Drosophila melanogaster: one gene and its partner. The protein of the gene in region 2 purifies or fractionates together with the protein of the main gene of each other region. This does not show direct contact. Each region holds a gene or a part of one and is shown on either strand. Other genes may lie near its edges. The genes, in order: Dlish and CG12084.

Region 1 (4,507 bases), on a different chromosome or scaffold from region 2:
CATGTATTTATCAAATCTATATAAGATTTCATTTACTTCTAGGCAATTTTCGAAGCTCAGGAGGAGACAATTGAGCATCTGAAGCTGCAGATTCGAAATAAAAACGATCTCATTCTCAGTTTGCAGCAGAAACTGCGCGAGGAGATGAACGAGAAGGAGCAGCTGAGAGAAGCTATGAAGTAGGATAACAATTTCTTTTACAAATGCAAAAATCTCATTAGCCAATCTCTCTCTACAGAAATATGGAGCTTAATTGCTCGCACTGCTCCTCAGCTAGCGACAGTTTGGGAATAAAGTAGACCTTCGCCAATCGGAGGTGATAACCAAAATCCAGTTGGACGTGCGTGTGCGTACAACATTATGCTGAGCATAACTCTACGCAACTGCGCCGCTTGGATGCAAATCCAATACAATAATACAAACCAAGTGCATATCGAGGGGTTGGCCCCTACAGTGCTTTAGTATTCATATCTAGACCTAGATGCTAGCAAAGTGCTGCCCACGCTGGTACTATATGGAATACGATAGTAGATATTTTTGATATTCGTTTACGAGGCACTTACAGTTAAGAATGAAATCACTAGACTAAGTGTATACGATATGTTATGCAAACTCACATACAAAATAAATCTAAGGCACAATTTATTACTCAATGAAAATGGCATTTATGAGTTGAAAATTAATTTAGTGTTCAAGATAAAAATATCCAAGCCACAAAGAAACGCTTTTCGAAATGCAATTCGACTGTGTTTGGAAGACTTACGAATATTACGCTTTAGTGTTAGTCGAAGTGATAATTAAAACGATTATGGTATTGAATCTATTTCTTAAAGGCTGGTCATCGCGGGTGGTCGGGCATAGGCTTTCGGGATGAATCCATATTTGCGGGTTTTCGGAGCATAAGCCCAAAGCCAGCCATCAACAGTCTGATTGGTTAAGTCTGCGTAAATCCAATCTCCTCTCCGCACAGAAAGGTACAGATCGTCTGGAGCTTGCGCTTTGTAATCATACAGCATCACCAGCTCCGTGCCATGGTAGCGTAGATCATCTGTTCCCAAGCCCAATTGAGGCTGCTGCTGTTGCTGGCTCTGCTGACCTTGTTGACCCTGCTGCAAAATGGTCTCCATGGCATTTAAAGTGGCTTTCTGTTGCTGCAAAACTCGTACACTGTCTGCAGGATAAATAAAGCTGGCTGGCACAAATCCTTCCTGGCCATCACTGCGCATTATCCAAAACCAATCGGGATCCTCGCGATTTAGCACGGTAACAAATTCACCCCGTTCCACAGACAAATCATTCTCGTCCCTGGCTATAAAGGTGTACAAGACGATACAGCGCCCGGAGGGTTCCTTCACGAAAGGAGTACACTCTGGCTCCACCAGCAGGGTGTTCTCTATGCTGTTGGCGGAGCCAGGATTCAAGGTTTCATCGCAAAGAACATCCAGCTTGTTATCCGTGCCCAAAAGTGGTATATTCTCTTCGATCGGCTGCTCTGGACACTGTTCCCTTGGCAGTTTCTTCTTAACAGCCAAATCCGCCAGTTGCGTGTTGCAGGGAGCACAATAAGAGAAGGGTATGAAACCCTCCTGCCTAGAGTCCTGACCAATCACGTAGACCCAATCGTTCTCTCTGTACAAGATATTAACCAGCTGTCCACGCTTCACCTCTAGTTCATCATCCACGCAAGGAGTAAAGTCGTGCAGCACAACCATCTTGGAATCAGGACTAAAATAGAATTAATATTGTACAGACTATTTAAACTGATAATGGATGGGATCGACTTACCTTAGACCGTGTTCCTTTTCAATGCCCACTCTTACAAGTGTTTCAATGCTGGAGGAACCAGTTATGCGGCCCATGCCCAATACACCCACAGCTGGTAAGTCCCTCTCAATGCTGGCATTTGTAGCTGAAAAGGGAGTATTTTGAAAATGCTTATTTAGGTACAATATATGTCGTATTTAATTAAATTTAAAATAAAATGTATATCTTATGCATTCAATCATAATATAGTTTCAAGAAAAAAAACTTGAATACAAATATTTAATTCAAAAAGAATTCTTGTACATTGATATACAAAATAAATGCACCAATAAACAGATTTAAACAATTTCAATTTTTTTAAGTTCCTACAACAAGTTCGTGATTGAAGTCTTTTGTTTCCGTGCTGCTTCTTCCGCTTTCTATGAACACACCTTTCTTCTTGTCGCGCCTCATGCGCACGGGGCAAAGAAATGCCATCTCTTCCCCCCACTCGGAATTAAACCCCCTTCAACCGAAAAACAACAAAATTTCGGCTAATTGCTTAATTTCTTTATTGTTTAGATCCGACACAACGCTCTTCTTCTTCTCAATATTCTCTGGTGTTAGAGGTGGAATTCATACGATTGGCTGATCTTGATGATGTTGTCCGTTAATCGATTGTCGCGAGGCGCCAAAATTTGAAAATAAGTTGGTTTTGTGTGTACGTGTTGGCTCTGCTCTTTCAAGCATGCAAATTTCTAGTAAAGCGTAAACTGCTCTTGAGCAGCACCTTCGATTTGGGTGCAATGCACCCGGGCCGCCGTTTACCTTGATAATTTATTACGCGTGTTTTGTGGGCTAATTCAATGATCGAAAGCATAGAAAAACTGTGTTTAGATTGGGCGATTTGATTGATCCAGTTTCTGCGACAGCTTCTATTTTTTGCGACCACGCACGGTGCTCTTCTTGGGTGTTGATCGCTGGTTGCTCTTTCGGGTAGGACGCCGCGGACCATCGCCTAAGTTCTCATCTGTCTCATAGTATCTGTACGTCCGGCGATTTGGTAGGGCGTAGTCCAGGGCATGAGTGACCATTATCGCCTTGTAGGTGCACGCCACGGACATGATAAGCTGCCCCAAATAGTAGACATCTTGGCGCAAAAACATAAAGACTTTTGGATAGGCTTCAAAAAGGTACATGCCGGTACGAGTATTAACTGCATTGTCCCGCAGTTTATTCATATGGCTGAGCAACTGGAGCCACACAAGCACCACGACCTGGGTGCACATATAGAAGACCAACAGTTCCAGCAGCAAAAGCCAAAGCTTCTGCAGCGGTGCGCAATTCATTACCCTCAGATGATGGAGAAAAAGCACGGCGGTCAGGACGAACAGCGCCGACGGAAGATCGGGAATATGCTCCATGGGCAGCACATTGCATCCGGCGATGTATAGACACACGCATCCCACGCTGCCAGCCACCAGCTCCGTGACTTCGTACATTCCCTGTACAACCACCATTTTAGTCGTATACAAAATGTGAACGAATGATAGATTTGAGTTAGCTCCAGGCGCTATGAATTGTGTTTGGAAGGTGTTACTTTACTAGATAGTAATGGCTGTATATCCAAAGTCTACTGAGCTCTATTTAAAACTTTATATTGTATTATAGTGATGTAACTAAAAGTCCAAATATATGTGAATTTTGTAATGTAATAGAACATAATAGGTTAGAGATATCTGGATTTTTTAAGCAATACTTTTAGTAGTATAAACATAATATATACATTTAATTCAGAGTGCATTTAAAACCCTCTGCCCCACTGAGACCTCGTCATTCTTAGCGAGCGTCACTTGCGCTATTGGACAGCATTGAAAAAAGAGGGGCCAATGCACTATTTTGGTGCCAAGGATAAAACTTTCGCATGCAATTTTCGATTATAATTCAGCGAGAGAATTTCGATGGAAAGGGCAAGGAAACAAAGAGTCTCAGCAAGAGAGGATGGGTCCAAAGAGAGAAAGTGTCCAAACTGACCTACACTTCGTCGTATCCCCATGTGCACATACCCCAAACTAAATTGCGCATTAAGCATCTCGAACATTATCCCACCAGCAGCAGTGGCGTGGCAGCATCAGCAGCAGGTGCCACACCCCCAAAAGACCCCCTTCAACTTGACTTTTGACTACTACGCAGTTGATTCCACATCCGCATCACATCATCCATCCCACAGCCCACATCGCACATCCCAGAAACCCATCCCCATGCCCTATCCCAAGTTTTATTAGAGAGAGCTGTCTGCGTTGGGCTTTAATCGATAGAGAGGATTCTGCGCAGTCCTCCACTCCTCGGATGCCATTCACAAAAAGGGGCGGCCAGTGGGCGGGGCAGGAGGTGGTTGGGTGGGCGAATCGAGTGGGTGCTCCTCGCCCAGCACACTCATCATGGCTGTTGTGTCTGCGGGTAATTGTTGCTCGGACCTCTGATGGCCAAAAAATGAGACTAGACAGCGGGCCAAATTAAGAGGAATGAGGCGGAAAATGGGGTAGAATGCCAGCTCCGGGGCGGAAAAAGTGGCTCACTGGCTTTGTGGGTCAGCTATTTTCGGTTGTCACGCATATTTTAATAAAATATATGCCCGGAAGTAAATTCAAATTAACATGCAACAGTCGCCCTTGCATAAATTGTAGCATAAATTTTTGTTGCAAATGACCTTGAATGTTTCGCACCCCTGAATGATGCAACAAAAGTGGTGAAATGCAAACTC
Region 2 (7,991 bases):
CAGATGAGAGACAAATTAGAATTAAACATAAATATAAATGTGTAAACGGTAGCTAATTCAAGCGGCGATTTTAACAAACAAATTTAAAAAAGCTTTAAAATTATAATAGTCAGGGCGCGAATTTTTAAAAATTTTTTTATTTTATCATATTGCTAGGAAATTGGCAAAAACTACCCTAATATGTACCATGTAAATTCGTTTCTTCGATCAGAATTGATTTTGGCCCGAAAATCGTCTTCTAGCACAACACGCACACTTATACGCGTTCTCGTCTCTTGTTTTTACTCACACAAGCAAGCAAATTATATTTTTAGATTTCTTACGCTCTCAGCGGGAGTGAGCGGAAAGAGAGTAATTTTGGCCGTCACCAAAAAAGTGGCTGCATAGTGCCAAACCAATGTATGGCCGTTACGCATCTTGTTATTCTAGGGTCTTTGGTAAGACACAGGCGTGATGTCGCTTACGAATCAAATTATATATATGTATATACGTAATGTAAGGTAACTAATGGTAACGTACACTGTTATAAATATTAATGCCAAGCGCAGAACTTTCAAAACTGTTACTTGCAATATATTTACAGTTGCTTAAGCCTAGCCTAGTGGTCTAGATTATATAGCTAGATTATTTTGAACGATCCGATCCTGAACTTGCAGCTACTTGGGTTCGTGATGCGAAAGCACAGCAAATGTGGGGGGGTTAAGTGAGCATCGTATGATGACCACAATTCAAAGAACAGATTCCATACACTCGTCTATGTGGCTAGAGAAAGAACTATCGATCCACGGGGAATTCAATTCTTAAGGATTTATTTAATCTCCAGCAGCCTTGCTTGCTACTCCAATGTCTTCCTCTTTCCGGTTTTAACAATATTTACACTTCTGAAGGCCTAAAAAGATCGCTGGCTTACAACATGTGATACATCATATACATATATAATCTAGTAATTATGTAATTATCGAATATTTCTGCATCATTAGATTTAGTTGCTTAACTCTCGCATAGTTTAAACTTGCATCTATGTATCTGCTGCTCTCGCTGTAAACATAAAAGTCAAGGAAGAATCTCTTGAACCACATAACACATGCACTTGCTTTAAAACGGGAAACAGAGGAAGCAGAAAAAAAACATTACAACAAACTCGACTCCTAAAGCTACGTGTTATCCTAAATATCCGCTTAGCCGTCGACGACCATGCGTTCCGATCCGGAGTCGCACTGCTCTATGACCAGGCGAGCGATGCGCTTGATCTCGCAGTAGGGACTCTCGTGCTCGATTAGCTCGTTGAGGATCTGGATGCCGTTCTCCTGCTCCACCAGCTTGCAATATTTTTCGGGATAAACCTGTGACGGAATGCAGAAGTTAGTACACAATGCACCAACAATGGGAAAAGGAATTGCTCCCCCACCTGTGTCAGATTGGCCAGGGCCCAAACAGCCCAATGTTGGCACTGGGGCGTCTCGTAGCAGCGCACCAGGCTGAGGATCGGCTCAAAGCTGCGGTAGTTGATGTTCCGCTCGCTCTTGATGTTCCACCGCTGAATGGCGGCCACCATGCGCTCCAGCACGTGCTCCCGGCTGGGCGTCTTGATCGTCCAGGCATCCGCTCCGTCCGAGGCAATGTGCGCCAGCACTCCAGCCGCATTGTAGCTGACCTGGAAGCGCAGGTAGGCATGGTTAGCACTGGCCATCTCTCTCTCCCGCACTCTCGCCACCACACTCGCACTAGCACCACCCACCTCGATGCCATCGCTCAGGGAGTCCAGCAGACGGGCAAACACCTCAATGAACTCCTGGGTCATCAGCTTGGGCCGCAGCCACTTCACCTCGGCCACATTGCCCAGCAGGCCCATCATGTTGCGCAACAGCTCGTCACGATCCGGGAAGGTCTGTTTTGGAAAAGGACAGTTCAGCTTAAGAAGTCTGGATACAGGAAGTTAACCTATTTCTTCATGAAACCAAGGAGTATACATTTGTTCGCTTTCTCTATGCAGCTCTTAAATTAAATATTTTAGTTCCCAATCTTATCTTTGTTGCGCTGCGGATAATGGCAAGTTTTTGGAGAACTTACATGTAAACACTTAAGGAAATACTCCATGCCACGTCCATCGAGGAATCTCTTACAATTAATAGCAGTCTCATCGGTTACGTTCCACATGGTGGACCAAGCCACCTCCATCACATCGTCGAAAACGGAGCGAGTCAGCCGATCCTTTATCAACGTGAACATGGTCTAAAGTCAAGAATATCACCAATAAGTACAATAAGTTCCGGCAAACAGTTGATAGGCAAGACACTTACACTAACTACGCCCAACTCGCCCAGGAAGAGCTTCTGTCGCCCATCCACCTGGCAAGCGAGTGTGTTCAGCAGGTAGATTGCTATGCGCTGGACAAATCCCTCTTGCTCCGTCTTAGAAACGCCGTGCAGCAGGATCTTGATGAGACGCTCGTACTCGAAGAGCTGAAAACCAGACATTTAGCTGTACTTAATATAATATTAGATTAGGCGGTGCTTACCACATCGACTGGCATGTGAAACTGGGTGAGCGTGAGGTAACCATTCCGCAGCATGGTGTCGTCGGTGATGTGCATCTCCATGCCATTGAGCAGCGTGCGAATGATGTGATTGCGCAGTAGTGCTCCAAACTTGGATCGATCCCTGCCCTTGACAATGTAGAACAGCGTGGCACTAATGAAGATGAAATTTAGAATTAAATACTATTTTCACTTAACTTCAAAGCTATAAACCCACCTGCCGGAGATTTGCATGTGCTTGAACTTGAGATGCCGATCCATGGCGGAGAGCACAACATCCAGTGCTGTGTGTATGTCCTTGCAGTTCTCGAAGCGGAAGAGATGGTACAAGTCGTTGAGAACTCTTGTCAGAAGCACTGGTCTGTCGTGGTAATAACGCGCCGCAGTAAGGATTTGCTGCTCGTTGGCATCGCCAGCTACCTCCAAAGCTGGAATATCGTGTCTTTTGCAGGCCCAGTGGGCCGTGTGATAGAGGCCTAGGAACTGCAGCGGTCGCTGGGTGCGGGACGCTAGCCCCGGGATGTCTGTGAGGGCAAAGTGTTGCTCCATTTTGGGGCTCTGCTGCATGCCACTGGTAGTTGTCGACTCCTTGGTGGCCACACCGTTGCCGGCCAAATTCGTGCCAGAGATATCCAAATGTGTGAGATGTCGCAAGTTGTCCATCAGCATCTCCAGCGTCTGATCGGGCAGGTCGTAGGTGCCGTGGCCATTTCCGGAACTGGAGATGGATATGTCCAGTGTGCACAGACGCCTCAGGCAGCAGATCGCATGCAGCTGGTTGGCGATGGGCCACACATTGAACAGGATGAGCGTGTGCAGATTGGGCAGCGAGCCCAATGCCTCAAGGCTGAAGTTGGCCAGCACGCAGGAGGTCAGGTCCAGGTGGCCCAAGTCGTGGAGGTGAGCGAACTGCAGGCGGTGGTGCATCACAACACCGTTGAGCACCAGCCGCCGCAGATGCGGACAAGTCAACTGGAAGTCCACTGGCTCCTTCTCGTTGGGCTCCGCGTACTGCAGCAGATGGGAACTGATGCCCAATTCCAGGGATCGCAGACTGTCGCCGTAGTGGGCCAGAAGGTGGTGGGAACCAACGGATATCATGTCACAGTACCACAAGGACAAAGCGAACAGTTTGTGCCGCATCAGAGTCTCCAAGCCTGCAAAATGTATCAAATAGTATTTCAATATGTTTTAAACTTATTCAAGTCAATGTGGTTCAGCAATAAATATGCAATAGAAGGTTGATTGGATATCTATCAATTCGAAGGTAACACATTTACATAAGTGTAATTTTTCAAATGAACTTGCATCTGATTTTGTATAAACTTTTAGAGGTGCGGTTGCAAATATTTAAATTTAAGTTTGTCTGTTTGAAAGTCTGACAGATTCCAGTATAAATTCCGTTCAATTACTATTCAATGGAGCTCAACAACACCGGATGTGGGCGGAGAACACTACGGATGGCGGGCAGAGCTCACCTATACTGCTTAGGGTGCTGTTGCGAAGATTGACGATCTTGAGCGAAGTGCGGTGTGTGTCCTCGAAGAGGCGGATGACGCTGTCGTCCAGCGGGCGATTGAATCGCTGATAGTTCTCGAGGAAGCCGTCGCAGATCTCGTTGGGCAGCACAATGCCCGGATTGAGGCCGCGCTGGCCATCTGGCCGGTGGCTGCTAATGATGTCCAGATTGTTGCACAGCTTCTGGTAGGCGATCTCCTTGAGGGTCAGCGGCTCCTCGTCCAGCGAGCCGTCCTCCATCAGCCGCACCTTGCAGCTCATCTTGGGGCCGCAGTTCTTGTGCTCCGCCAGTGGGGCCTCAATAATGGCCCTGTTGTCTAAAACGAAACGAGGCGATGGGAGGTATGATTAAACAAAATTTCAATAAGCGTGAAACTAGTTTTTGGGTATGTGGTCATCATTTCATCATTTTGTGAAATATTGAAATTACTGTTCTTTGAAATAAAAAAAGTGTTGAAACAGAATTCAGAAACGATATCGGAGAATATACATGATAATTTATTTCAAGTCATGAAATGACTACTTCACATTATGATTATTATAGAAATGAACTTATATTGCTGATAATAAAATTAAATTAAACACGGGTTTTCTATCACAAAATACAAAACTATTGTAGACCGGCTTTTACTTTTAATCACGAGACATGCACATGTAATGCGTTCGATTTTTCAATTAATTTAAATGAATTTGATTTTGGCCCATTAATCCATCCAGGTGCTCAAACTCAATACTCTGTCGATTATACATGATTTTATAGCCCCTTATTTGAGATTACAAGTCATGATGGAACGGATGAGTGATTCAACCTTTGAATCACATCAATGAATGAATGAAAGTGCCCTTTTCTTTTCAAGATTACAGACATGGATTGCCATTGAAGTGTTTTCCATTGAGTGAATTAAATATTTTGTCACTTTCAAATGAGCCCTTAACATCAATGTTTATAAAATGAGCTTACAATGTATTATTATACTAAGATAAATGGGCAATGACTTGACATTCTAGATTATATACTTTTTGATGTACGATTTCTTTAGTTCTTTTGTAAGCTAGCCAGGAATTAATCAATTTAATTAACGAGTATAGTTTGTGTTTACATGTTGCACTTTTTCGACTAATTATTGTTTGGGTATAGGAAGCGGGCTTGCCCTTGCAGTCGAACCCTTGCAGCTCCTAACTTTTGGAACTTGAGTTGCCATGGATGACTGGCCAATCTTGCCCAGACTTTTCAACGCAGGCACGTGCCATTGTTTTAATCTGTTTTCGGCTCTTGGCTTCCGATAGTCATGTACCCCTGCTGTTACATAACCAAGGGTCATCTAATTGGGAAGAATGCGGTATTAATACGGGGACTATGATCCTGGTTACATCCAGGCAGATGGTTATGTCCATGTCGTGGCGTGTGTGTATGTATATGCACAAGTTCCGCGGATCTCAAAGGTACATACATGCATGTAAAAAACAAATGGCTTGCGTGTGTCTGTGTGGGTGCGTAGTTATTGAAGAAAAAAGCACAAAAACACTAATAAAGCGTCGGCCTGTCTGGCTTATCTGGCCAACAAAACTAAGCGGAGTGACCAAAATAACACGGAACTGCGAGCAGCGACAGTCAGCTGTCCGGATATTTTTACCCGGAGTCTCGGAGTTGCTGGCCGACTGGCCGTGGAGCCCCACGCTTTCTGTACCTTTTATTTTGCTTTAGTGTCGCCCCAAAAAAGCAGCCTCCAAAATCCCTCGCTGCTTTTGCTTCTGTCGTTGCGTTTGTCTTTGCTTTTGCGTTTGCTTTGCCACTGCTGCTCTGTCTTTGCGTTCGTTTTGCCAACGGATTTTCCGAACTTCGAGCGATTTTTCCGCGATTGCGCAGCGTTTTACCGTTACACGCGGCACTCGAGCGCCAGAAAATTCCAATTGTTATTCTCTAATTTTACGATTTGCGTATGGAAATCACTTCATTATTTTGGTTTCTATTTTCTTTCTTCTCGCCAGTGTGACCAGATGCCGAATGCGCTCCAACACCCAATGCTGTCTACCTAACACTACTTCGCACTAAAAAATACCGAAAGTATCCTTTCATATTCGAAAGCTAATCCGAAAATTCTGGAACTCCGAAATCCTGACTTTTGAAAATCTAAAGTTAGTGAATAAATGTTATGCAAAGGCTTGCAGTTAAGATATGCAATTACTTAATGTCATTAGCCCGCGCAAGAAAAACAGACACTTGAATTGGAAACTATAGTTTATTTTGTAAGTTAAGCGCTGAAATAAATCAATTGTAAATGTACACATTGTTAGTCGGCGGCGGCGTGCTTGCCTGGGTTCTAATTTGTAGTTCTCTTGCTCCGATAATGCGAAGAAAACCGACAATTGCTTCCCTCGCTGTAGGGATACTTTTTAAAGACTAAATCACTGCGTTGCAGAATCATCATAATCATCATAATCGTATTGTATAATCCGGATGCCGTGCCGTTGGCTTTCGGACTGGCGTAATAAATAAACTTGCATCGTTTGCGTTTTAGGTGCTACGTAAAAAATGATAGAACAAATGCGGGGAGCCGCATGCAATTCGGATAGCTCCCCCTTCTAACCGGACAGATCTCCCTGATCGAAGATGCCCTGGTCGTAGAGCTCGGCCACCACTCTCCGACCGCCGAAGAACCGGCCGTCGAGTGCCTCCTTGCCCCGCATGGCCTCCGCTCCTGCCGAGAACTCCACGAAGATCTTCACGATGATCTCCGCCTCGTCGTCGTCCTCGTTCTCCGTCTGCTTCTCGTTGAAGATGATCACGCGACTGACGGTGCCGAATTTACTGCACTCCTCCTGGATCTCCTCCTGCAGGGTCTCGTCCACATCCTCGGGTCCGACCATATTTCGCAGGATGATTACACGTGAGTCCACCGGCCGCATCAGTCGCTGCATTACCAACTGCCGCGCGCTCTGGCCCTTGATGGACATGTTCTCCTGCTGCTGCAGCGTCTGCACGTCGCCCTCATCCATCAGCTTCTTCTGCAGCTCCTCCTGCTGCTTCTCGTGCGCCTTCTTGATGTTCTCCGAGAGATTTGCTGCCGTGACAGCGGCATTGTTTGCAGCGGCAGAGAGGGCGGCAGCAGCTGCAGCTCCTTTGCTGGCCTCCGCTCCCGCCAGAGTGGCCACAGTGGGCACTAAGCCCACGCCAACGCCGCCGACCGTCATGGGCAGGGTGGGTGTGGCCAGAAGGGCGGGCGGCGGAAGAGTGGGCACTACCGCCTGTAGAGGTTGCAGGCCAGCAGGAACCCCAAGCAAACTGGGAGCCACCGGAGTTGGTGCCTGGAATATTCCGGGCGGCAGAAGAGCGGGAGCGGCTTGAGCCAAAGCAGGATGCAGAGCAGCCGCGGATGTGGCTGCCGAAACCACTGGCATTGCACCCACCTTAGTGACCACTGCTCCAGCTGCCATGACAGGAGTGTTCTGCGACAAACCAAGAACCGCATTGCTGGCCACCGCGTCCAGGGCTTGGATCTTTGCCGTTGCTGCCGCTGCAGCCACTGCCGCAGCCGTGGGCATCGTGGAGTTCGTTGTGGGACAGGCCAGGGCATTCGGCGGCGTAATAGATCGACCCACTCTGTTAAAAAAGCATATGCATTAGATATTCCGCACATACTTTTCTAAGCGCTACACACTCACCTCAGAAGCTGGCCTCCCAAATCAAAGAGATTCATGCTGGCGATTGCCTCGTCCATGGCCTGTTTGTTGGCGTACTCGATGAAGCCGTAGCCCTTGTGCGTGTGAAGGGAAGTGCCCTGGGCCAGCTTGCAGTAGAGGATCGGGCCAAAGGCCTCGAAGACGCTCTTGATGTCCTCCTCGGAAAGGTCGGGATGGATGGAGGCCACGTAGATGCGGTTGAAGCTCTTGGCCTCCTCCTGCACCTCGTCGATCACCTGCTGCGCCTGTGGCATGT

The links.
Region 1: the proteins of CG12084 (region 2) and Dlish purify together in Drosophila melanogaster (affinity purification with western blotting, with the first as the bait; one study listed by BioGRID). This does not show direct contact.

The regions. Positions count from the first base shown.
Region 1 is NT_033778.4:17,721,174-17,725,680, reverse strand, and holds Dlish (dachs ligand with SH3s), read right to left. Parts: upstream 2,373-4,507; 5' UTR 2,242-2,372; coding exon 2,196-2,241; intron 1,910-2,195; coding exon 1,786-1,909; intron 1,726-1,785; coding exon 828-1,725; 3' UTR 625-827; downstream 1-624. Other genes in the region: Snx16 (sorting nexin 16), read left to right, coding at 43-179, 239-299; CG10934 (uncharacterized protein), read right to left, coding at 2,679-3,263. UniProt on the Drosophila melanogaster protein: Required for the apical cell cortex localization, total cellular level and full activity of dachs.
Region 2 is NT_037436.4:1,490,576-1,498,566, forward strand, and holds CG12084 (uncharacterized protein), read right to left. Parts: upstream 6,069-7,991; 5' UTR 5,743-6,068; intron 4,545-5,742; exon of another isoform or gene 4,372-4,544; 5' UTR 4,316-4,371; coding exon 4,015-4,315; exon of another isoform or gene 3,924-4,014; intron 3,694-3,923; coding exon 2,754-3,693; intron 2,691-2,753; coding exon 2,519-2,690; intron 2,463-2,518; coding exon 2,301-2,462; intron 2,233-2,300; coding exon 2,071-2,232; intron 1,889-2,070; coding exon 1,409-1,888; intron 1,344-1,408; coding exon 1,179-1,343; 3' UTR 795-1,178; downstream 1-794. Other genes in the region: hfp (half pint), read right to left, coding at 6,638-7,655, 7,718-7,991. UniProt on the Drosophila melanogaster protein: Serves as substrate adapter subunit in an E3 ubiquitin ligase complex CG12084-cul-2-elongin BC. Targets substrates bearing N-terminal glycine degrons for proteasomal degradation.